Canis lupus familiaris: one gene and its partner. The protein of the gene in region 1 interacts with the protein of each later gene in a pairwise test. Links are inferred from orthologs where the notes say so. Each region holds a gene or a part of one and is shown on either strand. Other genes may lie near its edges. The genes, in order: ANKS1A and DOK3.

The links.
Region 2: the proteins of ANKS1A (region 1) and DOK3 interact in a two-hybrid assay, tested with the Homo sapiens proteins (2 studies listed by BioGRID and IntAct). The link is inferred for Canis lupus familiaris from reciprocal best matches to the Homo sapiens genes ANKS1A and DOK3.

Annotation. Positions count from the first base shown.
Region 1 is NC_049233.1:4,445,993-4,448,810, forward strand, and holds the end of ANKS1A (ankyrin repeat and SAM domain-containing protein 1A), read left to right. Parts: intron 1-555; coding exon 556-726; intron 727-930; coding exon 931-1,029; intron 1,030-1,539; coding exon 1,540-1,659; 3' UTR 1,660-2,146; downstream 2,147-2,818. UniProt on the Homo sapiens protein: Regulator of different signaling pathways. Regulates EPHA8 receptor tyrosine kinase signaling to control cell migration and neurite retraction.
Region 2 is NC_049225.1:36,747,381-36,751,730, reverse strand, and holds the start of DOK3 (docking protein 3), read right to left. Parts: upstream 2,943-4,350; 5' UTR 2,647-2,942; coding exon 2,581-2,646; intron 1,600-2,580; coding exon 1,294-1,599; intron 1-1,293. UniProt on the Homo sapiens protein: DOK proteins are enzymatically inert adaptor or scaffolding proteins. They provide a docking platform for the assembly of multimolecular signaling complexes. DOK3 is a negative regulator of JNK signaling in B-cells through interaction with INPP5D/SHIP1.

The DNA of each region.
Region 1 (2,818 bases):
CATTCTCAGCCCCAGGAAGTCCATGCTTGCTCCAGCCTGGCATCAGACACCTGGCTCTGCCACTTGCTAGCTGTGTGGTCTTAGAATTGGGCTCTGCGTCTGAAAAGGGGCTATAATGTGAGCAATTTCATGGGGTTTGTTCTGAAGGTAAAGGGGGTCCTCTACCCATACTTGTAGTTCCTGCCACTTTTACCCAGAGCTCACATTTCCCAGTCATTTCTGCTGTAACACAGTACACACGCTCCTGAAGATCAAAGGCTACAGCTCACCTAGTAAAAAGCAGGGTTTGTGGGGAGACAGGGCTGGGGGCACAACACTCAGAAACTTCGTCAGTGGCACATTAGAACAGGAACCTAATAAAAACACCGGCCCTGCTCTGTTCACATCTGCTGGTTGAGAAGTCCATAGCTGCTCCGGTCAGCAACCCCCCGCGCCCCTGACCACCACCACCAGCCTGTGCTCAGGGCCGTGAGGCTGGGCTGGGGGTCTGGGCAAAGGGGTCCGTCTGGTGGCTCCTCGACCTTGGTGCTGAAGCTGGGCTCTGTCTCCTCCCAGAACCTGACCTACGAGATCATCCTGACGCTGGGGCAGGCGTTTGAGGTGGCCTACCAGCTGGCCCTGCAGGCCCAAAAGTCCCGGCCGCTAGGGGCCTCCGCTGCCGAGACGATTGAAACAAAATCTTCCAAGCCGGTGCCTAAGCCTCGGGTTGGCACGAGGAAGTCAGCAGTACGTGGGCCCAGACCCCTACCCCCCACCCCAGCGGGCTCTGGGGGCTTGGGGTGGAGCGGGCACCAGGAGGGGCTTCTCACGCAGCAGCCAGCACCTCCCCCATGAGCCCCCACTGTCCCCCACGGGCTTCCATCCCCTCCCTCGCCGGGCACCCCTGGTAACACCACCCCGTGTCTGTGTCTGCTTTGCTCTGCACCCCAGGTGCCGCTGCCCCCCGATAGTCGCTGTTGTCACTGTCACACCTGCACCACCCATCGTCCTTCCTACCTACCGCTGCCGTCTGTTAGTCCCGGAGTCAAGGTCTTTACACCTCCTGCTGTCTGTGTGTCAGTCTCCCCGAAGTGACTGTGAGCTTCCTGAGATGCTAGTGCCTCTCTTCCCTGAGCTGCCCTCCTGCTGTCCCTGCATCTGCTTCAGCTGTCTGTCTGTGTGTCCTCACTGCACAGGCCTACCCGGGGTGCGCCCTCAGCCTGGCCCAGGAAACCGGAGGCTTGGTGTTTTCCTGCCTCCATGAATAGGTCTGGGGCTCAGAGCATGAGGCTCTTTACCTGAGCAGCTCTGAGAAGTTGCCCCTGAGAGGCCTAGAGGTAGCCCTCCTGTGAAGCTCCGGGAGGGTGCCACTCCTGCCACCCCAGCCCTAGGGAGCTTGCTCTTCAAGGAGAACGGAGGCTGCCCCTCATGTGCCCTGTGCTGGCATGACATCAGCATGGCCCCGGCAGGAGGAAGGGACAGCTGGGCCCTGGCCCACCCTGGCCCGGCCCGGCCCAGCCCGGCGCTCCCTCTCTGACCCCTTGCCCTCCTTCTTGGCAGCTGGAACCGCCCGACCTGGACCCGGACACCCAGTCCCATGCCAGCGTCTCCTGGGTTGTGGACCCTAAGCCAGACTCTAAGCGGAGCCTCAGCACCAAGTATGAGACCACTATCTTCTAACTGCTCGCTCCCTGTCTCCACTAGTCTCACTGTGCCTTGCCATCCGACCTCTACTCTTCTCAGCTCTCCTTCCGGCTGCTGACACCAAGGCCGCAGTCCTGGGGGGACCTGCTCTCCTCCCGGGCGGCAGCTCTAGACACTCTCCACTCACAGCTTGTACCCAACACCACCGGACACTGTGAAGTCCCCCCTGGGCAAGAACAGCTTGGCGGGGAGGGGGGTGAGTTGCCCCAGAAGTGGGCGCCCCGAGGGCTGAGGGTGCCCTGGTGTGCCCAGGAGGCCTCAGCGGGAAGGTGCTGTGAGTCCTGAGGGGTGGGCAGTCTTCAAGCAGCATCCAGACAGCGCCAGTGACCACTCCCTCTGAGCAGGCGGGCCTGTGTGCTCCCCTCTCCCGTCTTCTGTGCCGAGCCGTGGCTGGCTGCCGCTGCCCAGAGAAAACTGTCTTTTTGCACCTTTCCTGACACAACCAACCACTGTGACCACTGGTGCCAGAACCCCTTGCACTCTGCTCACGCTGGCCTGCGGCCCTGTCCCTCTGTCCTCTGCTGTATGGTGCTGGCCTCCCCACAGGAGAGCCCGAGCTCAGCGGTGTGGCCTGACTGGGGTCCGACTGCGTTCTGTGAGGGGCCCAAGGGCCTCGGGCACATGCCTGACTCCACAGCCTGGAGCTCTGCGCATCTGGACCCCGCGGGCTGGCTTCCCTCAGCAGGGCTCCTGTCCCGCTGGGCCTTCCGCTCCGAGGAATGGGACGGCAGGTGTGCGGTCGGCCCCTCAGGTCTTCGCCAGCGAGTCACGAGGAGGCTGGCTCCGGGGCCCAGCTCGCCAAGGGGCAGGCCCTTCCGTAGGCCCCGGCCAGAGGGAGGCCTGTCCCAGCACACACGGTCTGCCTTCTTCCCTCCCAGAACGGAGCCGCTCGAGGACAGGGAGCCCATTGCCCTCTGGGGGCTGACACCTGTCCACGGTGTGGGGTCAGAGCTAGGCAGCCACCACCCACTCCTTCCCCGGTTGGCCACCCTCGGCCCCCTGCGTCCCCTGAGAGGGGAGGCCGTACGGGCTGCCCAGCTGGGATGGTGGAGCTGAGGCTTTTGAAGAAGCCACAGTCGCCCCTAAGGGCAGATCAGCTCAGAGGCAGGAACCGGGAGCAACGGTTCCGGGAGGA
Region 2 (4,350 bases), on another chromosome or scaffold:
TTTTTTTTATCATTCCACATTAAAATCCATCAGCAGTCTCTACCCACTCCCCCTTCCTAGCCCCTGGCAGCCACTAAGCTGCTTTCCCTATAGATTTGCCTATTCTGGGTGTTTCACATAAATAGAATCATACAAATATATGGTCTTTTGTGTATGGCTCCTTTTAATTAGCATGATGTTCTCCAGGTTCATTAATGGTATTAGCATGTATCAGTACCTCATTCTTTTTTTTTTTTTTTTTTTATGGTCAGGTAATATTCTTTTGTATGGATAGAATACATTTGGTGTACCATTCATCAGTTAATAGCACCTTTGAGTCATTGTGATTAATGCTGCTCTGAGCATTCTCATACAAGCTCTGTTTGAACACCTGTTTCAATTCTCTTGGGTATACACCTACCAGTGGAATTGCTGGGTCATACGGTAACTCTATGTTTAACTTTTTGAGGAACTAGGCTCATTTCCTTTTGGTCCATAATAGACTCTATGAAGCTTTATTTTTTTATTTTATTTTTCAAAGATTTTTATTTATTCATTCATGAGAGACACAGAGAGGCAGAGACACAGGCAGAGGGAGAAGCAGGCTCCACACAGGGAGCCCGACATAGGACTTGATCCCAGGACTCCAGGATCTCGCCCTGGGCCTAACTAAGGCAGCCGCTAAATCGCTGAGCCACCCAGGAATCCCTCTATGAAACTTTAAAGCTTTCAGTCCCTGGCTCCCAAAAACTTCCTCCAAAGGCTTCTCCTCTCAGAATATGACCCCAAACTCCAAATGTGGCCCAAAGTAGTTTCAGCTGGTTCCCACCAAACTCTCCAACTTTGCCTCCTCCTAGGCTCCCTCCCCACTCCTTACCCTCCAGGCATGGTGGCCTTTCCACCTCTTTGATATACCAAACTTTTCCCTGCTTCAGGGCCTTTGCCCTTGCTACTCCATCCGTTCAGGATATTCCTCAGGCCTCAGTGTCCGGATCACCCTTGCCTCAGATCTTTGCTTGGTGAGTTCTTATTTGTCCTTGAGGACTTGGGCTTACTGCCCCTTCCGAAGAGGCCTTCCCATCTAACAACCCACCATTCATTCCTGGTCCCACCAGCCTTTCATTTTCTCCACAGCATGAATGGCCATGTGAGATTCATTCTATGGATTTAGGGGGCTATTTCCTTAGGCTTGTGGGTCCTTGGCAGGTACTAGCTGAGTGCCAGGATGTGAGTGACCACGGAGATGAACAAGGTGGGGGTATCAGGTAGTCCACTTCTGGCCCCGGATGCCCTGCCCAACCGCCTTATGCTCACCTGGAAGGCCAGCTGGCAGATGGGGCCCATCCATTCCTGGCGATGCTGGGCAGCCAGTAAGTGGCTTCGCTCTGTGGTGGTGAGCAGGAAGGCACCAGTATCTTTGGGGCAGCTCTCACCATCAGCAGGCAGCACAGACACGCAGTCAGCCAGGCGGATGACCCGCCGTTCCCCACGCCGGCAGGGTCCTGCAGACCTGTCGCCTGCTGGCCCCAGGCCACCATCCCGGACATCCCAGCTCTCCAGCCGTGCCACACCTGATGGTCCTCCTGCATATAGCAGACCCCATACCTTCCGCCAGGACTTCTGTGGGAGGTGAAGATGGGGGAAAAGACCCTTGAGTGGCAGTTCTCCCTGTAGCTCAGCTCAGCACAAACTGCTCAGCAAATGTTCCTGGCCACTCAGGCTGGCCTCTGCTTCCCTCAGATCCTCAGGGCCATAGAGAAGGAGGCCTTGCCAAGGTCAGACCAGCAGGGGGAAGAGTCTGTGCTTGGGGCCAGGCAGCTGTGGGTTCAAATCCACCCCACCAATTGCCTTTGACCTCCAGGAGCACTAGTACCCCCATCTCAAAAAACTAAGAGTACACAAAGTTGGGGCTTCTACTGGGTTATGTCTCTGAAGTATCTAGTAGTTAAAGCAGACCACCTGATACTATCATTATGTTGGTGCCCCTACTCCCTTCCTCACCAAAGAACAGGTCCCTTTGGACCATGGGACAAGGACTGAGCCAGGAAGGAGGCCTCAGTCTCATGATGGCAAGGAAGGAAACATGCAAATAGCATAAAGCAAAGGAAATAGACTGTTTATCTCCCTGGGCAGCAGCTGCAGCTGAGCTATGAGGGTGCAGGGCCTCCTGCCTGGGGAGACGTAAACTCCCCAACTATGTCCCATAACAGGGCTATAGGGACTGAGCCCTCCTATGTGGGGTGGGGTCGGAGGGATCCTCCAACTAAGCCTCCAGCCTTCTCTACAGGGGCCTTGGTGCCTCTACAACATGGGGCGGAAGGCTATCAGGTCAGTCAGCTTCTCAGCTCAGCCCTGCCCCAAGGTTTGGATTCTTAGATCCTCCCCACTCTTGGCTTCCCCATCCTTGAACAGGGCTGGCTCTCATAAAGGCCCACTCAGCCCAACCCACTCAAGCTGAGAATGGGGCTCTGTTCTATTCCCCAGCACCTTGGTTGGGTCACCCACCCTGACTCCCTTCCCCATTCTCCCAGGTCTTGGTGGGCTGAGGCTGGGCCAGAGGCCTACCGCCCTGGGCAGCTGCTGGGCAGCCAGGGTCCCCACCTTGCCGAACTTGACGTGCTGCTGGTAGAGGATGCCGTCCTTGATGGGAGTCTCCAGAGGCTCCATGGCCGCTGCCAGGCCTCAGGACTGCCACTCTGAGGGCCTGAGGAGACTGGTGACAGGCCAGAGGGGAACTCCTCACACTTCCCCTTCTGGCCACTTCCCCCTCCCTCTGTTCAGAGAGGCAGCTGCAGGGCTGGGGGGAGGGGAGTCCGTCCTTCAGTAAAGGAGGTAGGATAGGGGGTGGGGACGTCACATATACCTTCCTCTGGGTCCTGGGGCCCCATATGCTCACGTGGGCCTGGCAGGGGCCTCAGACTACTGGAGAGCAGATGACCTAGGCCTGTACCTGGGTCAGCTGACTGTGAGTCATATGCTCTGACCTCTCTTCTGTGCAGGGCAGCTGTATACCCCAGCGCCTGATATTCCCACAGCCCCGTCCCTGCCCCAGGACCCCCCTCTAGCCAGACTGGCCAGTTCCTTGCTTTTTCTCTTGAGCCTCAGTCCCGCTCTGCTTATTTTAGAACTGTTTCTAATATTCACTTGGTCCCGTCTTTACATCCCTGTTCATTATTTCCCCTTTGAACCACTGTCCCACTGTGGTCCTTTCAACCGAGCCCAAACCAACCCATCTCTCCCCTTCCCAAGCCTTTCTCGACTGCCCCCCTGCGCTGGGGCATAGCCTGGGCTCCTCAGCGTGGCACCCAAGGTGCCCTGTTCCGGCCTCCAATTGCCTCAGCCCAGTGCCTCCAGGGAACCCCTTACCACTGTTCAACTTGATCGCTGGGCTGCCTCTAACCCTGGGAGGCCCCACTTTCTCACTTTTGCTGAGCACAAGGGCCCAATCAGTGAACTCCGGTCCTCGCAGCATGGCCCGGTCATGTATGGGTGGCATGCCCCCAGTGGGTCCTGGAGAGCTCACATACTCTTTTTAAACTTTGCTTGTTGCCAGGCATCTTTTTTTGCCTCACCTTGCTAGAGGCTACTATTGGGGCTATGAGTCTGAATTCTGGGGACAGCCTCATGTCATTCAATGTCGCTTTTACAAAAGCATGGGTAACCAGGCTGAGTAATACCATTTAGGGTCACATGTGGGGTGTCAGCAGGAAATCTTTTCCAAGGGCCTGCCCACCTGGCTTTGTGTCCATTGCAGCCTGAGCAGCCTTGAGCTCCAGCATTAGGACACCCTGTCCTTTGCATTCTCATTGCATTTCAATGATGAGGAAATCGAGGCTCAGAAACATTAAGTAACTTGCCTAAGGCCAAACACAAAGTGACAAACTGTGACTTGAGCAATGGCTGTCCTACTGGGATACAGCATGTGCTGCTAGTGGCTCTTCCTCTGCCTGTCCCTCGCCAGATGCTGACATCCTACTCCATTTGCCAGGAGTCTCCTGCTGCCACCCCCAATTATTCCTATCTCCTGTCTCTCCCACTTACCTAGGAGCTTCCCAACAGGTGTTTGCCTGGATTGCTTGGATCCTGAGCCCAGCAGGGAGCTGGACACAGAGTGAGGTCACCGAGTGCTAGTGGCCTGAATAGCAGTCCTGTGGCATCTGCTGGCCTCTCAGCAAGGGGAATAGAGAATTCTCTACTGGCAGTCTGTGGGCTGTGGGCAGTGTGCACTGGCAAATGGGCAGGGGGGCTGAGGCAGGAAGTCGCCTCCCAAGGGGCCCCAGGAGCTTCATACAACAGACAGGAAGGGGGAGGCTGGGGCAAGGTTGGAGATTATAAGAGCCAACCAGAGACCAGAAAACCCAACCATTTCCC